Mus musculus: one gene and its partner. The protein of the gene in region 1 purifies or fractionates together with the protein of each later gene. This does not show direct contact. Links are inferred from orthologs where the notes say so. Each region holds a gene or a part of one and is shown in the gene's direction. Other genes may lie near its edges. The genes, in order: S100b and Iqgap1.

Region 1 (4,483 bases):
GAGGGGTTAGAGATGCCTTGATCATCCAGTACCCTGAGCAACCTCACAAAGTGAGGGAACCTTCCCAGTCATGATTATCATGGTCTCCCTGAGTCTCCCTTTTATTGTCTACTGGGGACTAAGAAGAGTAGGGGACCTAATCTTTGTGAACCAGTGGCTTTGATCTCATGTAGATAAATGGTGAGTTGCCCCCTGTAATAGGGAGGAACCAGAGTAGGAGTTTATACCTCTGCCCCAAAGCTAAGAGACACTGCCCCCTTTCCTCAAGGTGGAGAAGCTTTACTGGAGCCCTAACATGTCTAGTCAACCCCTTGGTCTCTGTGATATTTGGGTGTCTTTTGTCATGTAGCTCTTCCCACAGACACTTGGAACACGAGGGGCAAAGGGAAGTGTGACTAAGCTATCCTCTCTTGCTTGGTCAGCTTGGGCCATTGCTTCTGTGTGATTATTCAAAAGGACTGCTCACTTCTGATTTCTTTTTTTTATTTTTATTTTTAAAAAGATATTATGTATACAGTGTTCTGCTTGCATGTACACCTCTACACTAGAAGGGGGCACCAGACCTCATTATAGATGATTGTGAGCCACCATGTGGTTGCTGGGAATTGAACTCAGGACCTCTGGAAAAGCAGCCAATGCTCTTAACCTCTGAGCCATCTCTCCAGCTCAACTGCTCATTTCTGGGCAAGAGCGCACAATTGATGCCATTTGAAGCTCAGGTGTAGTGCTGCTGAAGATAGGCAGTTAGGAACAGACTGCTTTCTGGGGTCATTTTGTGCCTTGACAAGAGGTGCAACATTTCTTCCCTATGCAAAAAGAGCACAGCACAGGACAGGCATTTCTGGCTCAGACAACTCATAACCTTTGACCAGGGTAGGGAGAGAGAGCCCCAAGACAAGAGCTGGCAGGTCTTTCCCTAGGTGCAACAAGTACTAAGTATGTAACTAACTTACTGCATGCTGGTCCCTGAGAATACTGGGCTCAAAGAGGAGTCTGGGGGTAACCACTACCCAGCATCACCAGCCCCAGCATGGCATACCTGCAGGAGGGGACCAGGAAGCTGGCAGACAAGCAAGATGTTCAAGAGGCCTCCTTAGAAGCCAGTCAGGGCCACACAGTCTCCAGCACTCAGCATGAGAAGTTTCCAGTTCTTGGCTGCAGATTTGCTGTTTAAATCAATTCACCCACGTTGTCTCTCTCCTCTTCCCAACCCCAGCCTTGCCTTTGGAACTGGGCCAATGTTCATGTAATACATTTAAAAGGTGCAGAGAAGCTGACTCTACACTTCCTACCCAACAGACCCGTATTCTTTCTAGATCAAGTCCAGTTGTGGCTGCCCAGTGGATCCCCAGGGTACCACTCAATGGGGCCCTGTATGCAGGCCTGGGTGTCTAACTCCTCCCTATCCTTGGCCCCCATTGGCAGCCTCAGCCTGCAGTGGACTGCGCCAAGCCCACACCCAGTTCTCTCTGCAGGAAGAATAAGAAGCTGTTCTGTCTACACTCCTGTTACTCGGACACTGAAGCCAGAGAGGACTCCAGCAGCAAAGGTGACCAGGAGGTGAGAAAGCCACTGACAGGACCCAAGAGAAAACCTGCTTTTTTCTTTCCTCGGAGGGTGAGGGGTGACAGGGATAGAATGGGAACTGAGCTTTAAGAATTTTTTTTTTTAAGAGACCTTTGGGGACATTTGGTGGCATTTCAGAGCTGCTGATTAGGCTGCCTTTACTGTTTCCTTGTGACTGCGGCTGACACTGACTATGCAGTGTCTGTGTTACAGCGGGGGGATTGTCTTTGGTTTTGTTTTCATTAAACCAGGGAAACCTTAGGCCATAGTTAGAACTTCAGAATGACTGCCGATGTTTTTGGAGATGGCGCACAGTGCGTCTTCTCTGAGTCCTAAGGGAAGGATTTCCTTTCCTGGAATAGGGTTACCCCAAATCTCCAACCGCAGCTCCCCTTTCTTCATGGCAACTTTTCCCGGGGTCCCTGGAGCACCCCTGTGAGCTTTTCCAGTTTTCCTATTCGAAACGCCAAGAGCTACATCTCCAGACACTGCTCAAAAAAGAAAAATCCAAAGCAGTTGAAACTTTTCAAATCATTATGAATTGGGACAGAGAGATGAAGGTTTGGGGGTGGCTCCTGACTTTCCTGTCATCCCTCCTGGGGAAGGGTGGTCTCTGTGGGGACCCCTCACCTTACAGGCAGTGCCATCCCAAGAAGCTCCAGCCCTGTGTTTCTTTATAAAGACTCATCCGTTTGTCTTAGAAGGCAGACAACAAACCAATGCTTCCTTAGTTGAAAGAATAGGGAGATTTTTGAATTTTTAATATAGTCATGAAAAAATAAATTTTTATTTATTTATTTATTTTTTGCCTATGGGATATGGTGTTTCACCATTTACTTTTAAGTCTTAGTCCTTATCCACAAAAAGATCATTTAGCTCTCCCTCCCCCAGCCGTTAGGACTTTGAGCAGTATCAGTATGACACAGAATCTCTGAAGACTTTTTTTTTAAATCAATAACTGTGCTGGGTATGAGCCAACCCTTGGGAGAGTAGAGACAAGGAGATCATTATTTAGAAGAGAATCTGGGGACAGTGAGACCCCCATCTCAATCTAAAAAGGAAAAAGGGCAGATAATTCTGTGCCTGTCCTTCCCTCCCCTCTCCTCCCTCCCCTCCCCATGGGACTAAACATATTTTCTTTCATAAAAAAAAAAGACAAACAAAAACAGTAACCGGGGCTGTTGAGATGGTTCAGTCCAGCATCCACATGGAATTACTGACTGTAATTCCAGTTCCCAGTGATCTAACACCTTCTTCTGGCCTCTGCGGGCACCAGGCATGCACGCTACAGAGACATACCTGTAGGCAAAACACCCAGACACATAGGATTTTCTTTTAGCTAAAAGACCAACAGTAACTAAAAACTCAAGTTAAGAGACTAAGAGAGAATGTTACATTTTGTCTATCTGGGTTGTTCTTCTTATATGAGGTACTTCAGGTGTCTTTGGAAAACATGAACAAACCAAAGAACCAGAGAGCCAATACAGGGCGAAAACCTTCGTTTCTTTTGGGAGATCCTTAATAAAAATGTAAAAAGCTACGAAAGTTGTATTCTAAAATGTAACATGTTCAACATGGAAATGACTTTTGAACCTTTGTTTAATTATGACAGTGCAGGTTCTGGTTTAAGGATCAGAACTCGAGGCTAGGAGCTGCCAAATGTCTCTGCCTAAGAGGCTGGTTTCTAAAATGATCCCAGAGCCACCCTTAATGGCTTAATGTTAATGAAGTTCCTCAGATAATCGAGCGGCCCTCCCTGAATCCCCGGGCTGTGGCTGTGGCATCAGGTGCCCACTGCAAAGGCTGTTTGCTTCTCTCAGGCATGCATGCCTGTTCACAAAGAAGCTGCTGTACTCTGAGGCCAGGCCAATGAAGCAAGCACAGAACTCAGGGCTGGGCCTCCGTCGCCCTGTCAGGATGCCAGGAGAACCATATGACCTTGGAGTACGTGTTTCTGCAAGGTCACTTCACTGGTAGTTTTCAAAAACTTGGTACAGGAATTTTACAGTCTTTATTTTTTATATATATATTTTTGGTTTGTCCCCCATCCCCCCCCAAAAAAACCTCACTCATATTTTATTTATACATCTTAAACTAATATATTAATTCAAATGAAAATAAGCTCTTTGTTAGGGTTTTTATTACTAAGATGAACACCATAACCAAAAAGCAAGTTGGGGAGGAAGGGCCATTCAGCTTTGGCGTCCACATCACAGATCATCATCATAGGGATTCAGGACAGGAACTCAAGCAGGGCAGGATCCCGAGGGCAGGAGCTGGTGATGCAGAGGCCATGGAGGGATGCTGCTTACTGGCTTGCTCAGCCTGCTTTCTTATAGAACCCAGGACCACCAGCCCAGGGATGGCACCACCCACAATGGGCTCAGCCCTCCCTCATCGATCACTACTGAAGAAAATGCTCTATAGCTGGATCTTATGAGGGCGTTTTTCTTAATTGAGGTTCCTGTCTCTGAGAAAGGGCTTTAGCTTGTGCCAAGCTGATATAAAACTAGCCAGAACATTCTTAATCTTGTTCCTCAGAATCTTTTGGAAGTACCTGCATTTTTCCTCCTAACCCCTGATATTATTGCTGTATGAGGAAGCTGTTACTGCATTTTAAAAATGGTTCACTGATAGTGATGTGTGTGTGTGTGTGTGTGCGTGTGTACAGGTAGATATTTACTTGTTACTAGTCATCTTAGTGTCTTTCTTAAATCCATCAGCTGATGGTATATCCTGGAGACCTCTGGGATTGGGAATAGCCACCAGGAAGACCCGGAGTCATTCCCTAATGCTTTGCATTAGCATCTTTGCTAGTTTCTCATTGGCCAAACCCAACCAGAAACCAATGGTCTTGGAAACTTCGCTCTGTAGCCTATGGGGACATAGAAGGGACAGGGTGGGCCTGGGCAAAAGA
Region 2 (3,811 bases), on another chromosome or scaffold:
CTAAGTTAGCTAAGCTTCCTGGATCCTTCTATTTATAAACAAGACAAGCTCCTGCCTCGAACTATTCCTGGGGGTCGATCTAACATTGCTGGGGGTCATTTCTGTTTTCTCAGCAAACTGCCCTATGATGTGACTCCTGAACAAGCCTTGTCTCATGAAGAAGTGAAGACGAGGTTAGACAACTCCATCAGGAACATGAGGGCCGTGACAGACAAGTTCCTCTCAGCCATCGTCAGCTCTGTGGACAAAATCCCGTGAGTGCCATCAGTTGTGACTCCAAATAAAGCCTGGCTGGTGGCATACTCTGTGGCCTGACCTCACTCCATTTTGTCCATCCCACAGTTATGGGATGCGCTTCATTGCCAAAGTCCTGAAGGATTCCCTGCACGAGAAGTTCCCTGACGCTGGTGAGGACGAGCTGCTGAAGGTAAGACTCTGAGAGCTACCGGGTGCCTGCCCTCTGCTGTCAGATGCCCAGTGACCACAGACCAGCAGGAAGTGCCTGAGTGTCCTCCACTGTGAGCCTCACGAGCAGCTGTAACTAGAAGACGGTGCCTTCTAAGCAGATAGTTTCTGTTCATCTTCATCTTTAAAGGCACTGTGTACACTAAGTATAGGTAGTGGGAAGTTTTCCTGAGCCCTCTTTTCTCTGGAGCATTGCTCCCTCTGCTGGTGGCCAGGTGAATAGCAGCGAGCGCAGTGCTCTGCTGCGGATTCCCTGCTAACTCTTCTTACTTGGCTATACTCCCTCCTACTTGTGTTTTTACCTTTTAAATCTGAACGCTTCTCTCTTCTCTCTCCTAGTTCTGTGCTTTCCTACAGTGAGGCCTCGATTCTAGACTTTCTGTCCAGGTGAATTCATTTTATTTTTTTTCTGGAACTCTAGGGGAGATTCCATGATTGTCCTTGCGTTCCCCTGTGGAAGACATGTGTGCTGAGTGAATCTCATTTCATAGGCATGAACGTGGCCTTTGCAGTCTGTGGCATGTGGGCCGTGGGGGTTAAACAGACAGTAGCTCATCTAAGGACTTACTTTCCCTGTGCTACATGGCTTCCAAAAAACCCACCTACAAACCCCACAGAGGTGGTCGACATCAGCCTGGGCTGCTGCCGTAACATATGAACTGAAGGCGTCCTGGAGCGTTGGATCACATACCTTACAGTGCTATTTATATGTTCTAAATCTGTCCCTTTTTTCATCTCTGGTGCTAGTTTTCAGTTCTCTTCCCCCCTTCACACATCCCCCAGTTTATTTGGAATTTTAGGTCTTGAGGTATATGTGTGCATGTGTGCATGTTGCTGTATGCTCTTTGTTTACTTCCTCACAGGATTATATCTTCTCATTTTCATTGCTAGCAAAGCCAGGTGTGGTTTCCTCAGTGGGCTGCTCTTTAATGCCGTGCTTCTATTTCAGATTATCGGTAACCTGCTTTACTACCGATACATGAACCCAGCCATCGTCGCTCCCGATGCCTTCGACATCATTGACCTGTCAGCAGGGGGCCAGCTCACCACAGACCAGCGCAGAAACCTGGGCTCCATTGCCAAGATGCTCCAGCACGCGGCGTCCAACAAGATGTTTCTGGGCGATAATGCCCACTTAAGCATCATTAATGAGTATCTCTCGCAGTCCTACCAGAAATTCAGGTAAGGGACAGAGTAGACGACTCAAAGGTCTGTAGGTGTGTTTTCATCTGAGTGGTTAACCTTCTCCTCACTTCCCCAAGTCCTGAGTTGCAGGATGTGAGTGTGTGTATGCGTGTGCATGTGTGTGTGTGTGTGTGTGTGTGTGTGTGTGAGAGAGAGTATGAGTGTGGTGTGTGTGTGTGTGTGTGTGAGAGAGAGAGAGAGAGAGAGAGAGAGAGTATGAGTGTGGTGTGTGTGTGTGTGTGTGTGTGTGTGTGAGAGAGAGAGAGAGAGTATGAGTGGTGTGTGTGTGTGTGTGTGTGTGTGTGTGTGTGTGTGTAAGGCTCAATGGCTCCAGAAATGGGTGCGTGCATCAGGAAGATTCTCATATGCAGTAGATAGTAGTATTTGATATAAAAGGAGTGTCTGTGCATTAAGCCCATGCTCACTATAATCAAGAACTGCAGAGTGCTCTTGATATTTGGAAATTAACACTTACTTTTGAATGTAGTGCCTGGAGCAGTTCCTTAGAGGTGAAGCGCACAGGTGTGTGAGGGCCATTTGAAGTTGTGCTTGAATGCTTGTTGTGGGTGGAAGCAGAGCTGGCAAGAGAACTGTCTCAGCATCCCCAGGCTGCCGGGCAGGAATTGAACAGCAAACACGTGGCCACTTTTCTAGACTCCCACTGTCGTGTGGCTGGTTTGTCTGAACACAGCACTGGAGGGGTCTGTGTGCCCTTTCCTTAGCTGCCCTGCCAATGCCACCTGCTGGTGTTTACTTTCAGACGGTTTTTCCAAGTGGCTTGTGACGTCCCAGAGCTGCAGGATAAATTTAACGTGGATGAGTACTCTGACCTAGTCACCCTCACTAAGCCAGTTATCTACATCTCCATTGGCGAAATCATCAACACCCACACTGTAAGTGCTTCCCCTTAATTGCTTAGCTGCATCCCTCTGCCCTTAATGACTCCCTGGCACCTGCCTCCTCTCTGATGGACGGCCAGGCATCTCGCCTTGCTGTGATCTTAACTGACACCACAGCGCCTTGGCTTTTTCTCTTCCTTTGCTCTGCTGCTCTTTGGTGGTGCTAGAACTCAAATCCGGGGCCTACTGTGCACTAAGTGCTCTGCCCCTGAGCTGCACCCCAGCCCTGCTTCATACTCAAAATATCTACTGCTCTGCAAATTACTCCTAAGCCTCCTGCCTCAGAATCATCCACACTGACACTGAGAAGTGATGTTTGCCAGCCCTGTGACAGGTATCCTGATCCACAATCCCTCGGAATGGACTCCCAAAGTGCATTGTGAGCACAGACGTAGTGGCTTGGTGAAATGCTCTCTCTTATACCAGCCATTCGCCTTACTCCTCTCACATGACCTAGAACACCAGCTTCTTCCTCTCTGCCTGTGGATTTTTCTTTTGGAAGCTCTCTGTATAGACTTTTTAAACAGTTTCCTTCTCCCTTTGGGGACATGTAAATCAAGAATTACATATATGATGATGTATGTACATGTTTGATGGCATTTCATGTCCTGTCCCCTCTGAAGACATTACCAGGGATCGTAGCATGCCTGGGGCTTTGTTGAGTGGCAGGAAGATAATGGCAGTGTGGCTCTGGGTGCTTTTTCTGAGTAAGAAGATACTGCATGTTGGCAGAGTTTAAAACCCAGCACTAGGAAAAAACAAAACAGCTAGCCAAAGCGACCTTTGTCCCTGGGACACTGAGAAAATCCCAGTATATCGCTGAGCAATTCAGTATCGTTGGATTGGTGCTTGCCGGGTGCAGTGATGACTTTAGTTTGCGTCCCATGCTTTCTTACATGGGAGCATTGGATCTTTTTTGACCAGGCCAGGAGTTTTACAACACGAGCGGTTGGTTCTGTGAAGCCCAGTGTGCTGCTCAGGGCCTCACGCTGTTTACTAGGTTAGCTTGTTTGTCCTCTGGATGTGGCAGTTTCGTTGTTTGGTGTCTTTTGGTGGGGACAGAGGGTTGAGGGTGAAAGTGGGACCAATCACTGGTTCGTTACAGCTCCTGTTGGACCATCAGGATGCCATTGCTCCAGAGCATAACGACCCCATCCACGAACTTCTGGACGACCTTGGGGAGGTGCCCACCATTGAGTCCCTTATAGGTAACGATCTTAACTAACTAGCCACTGAAAAGCTGAGAGAAGGACTATTGTCGT

What was found.
Region 2: the proteins of S100b (region 1) and Iqgap1 purify together in Homo sapiens (co-immunoprecipitation; 3 studies listed by BioGRID and IntAct, with this or other methods). This does not show direct contact. The link is inferred for Mus musculus from reciprocal best matches to the Homo sapiens genes S100B and IQGAP1.

The regions. Positions count from the first base shown.
Region 1 is NC_000076.6:76,252,399-76,256,881, forward strand, and holds the start of S100b (protein S100-B), read left to right. Parts: upstream 1-1,437; 5' UTR 1,438-1,560; intron 1,561-4,483. UniProt on the Homo sapiens protein: Small zinc- and- and calcium-binding protein that is highly expressed in astrocytes and constitutes one of the most abundant soluble proteins in brain.
Region 2 is NC_000073.6:80,726,685-80,730,495, reverse strand, and holds part of Iqgap1 (ras GTPase-activating-like protein IQGAP1), read left to right. Parts: intron 1-113; coding exon 114-254; intron 255-342; coding exon 343-427; intron 428-804; exon of another isoform or gene 805-852; intron 853-1,414; coding exon 1,415-1,647; intron 1,648-2,410; coding exon 2,411-2,543; intron 2,544-3,654; coding exon 3,655-3,757; intron 3,758-3,811. UniProt on the Homo sapiens protein: Plays a crucial role in regulating the dynamics and assembly of the actin cytoskeleton.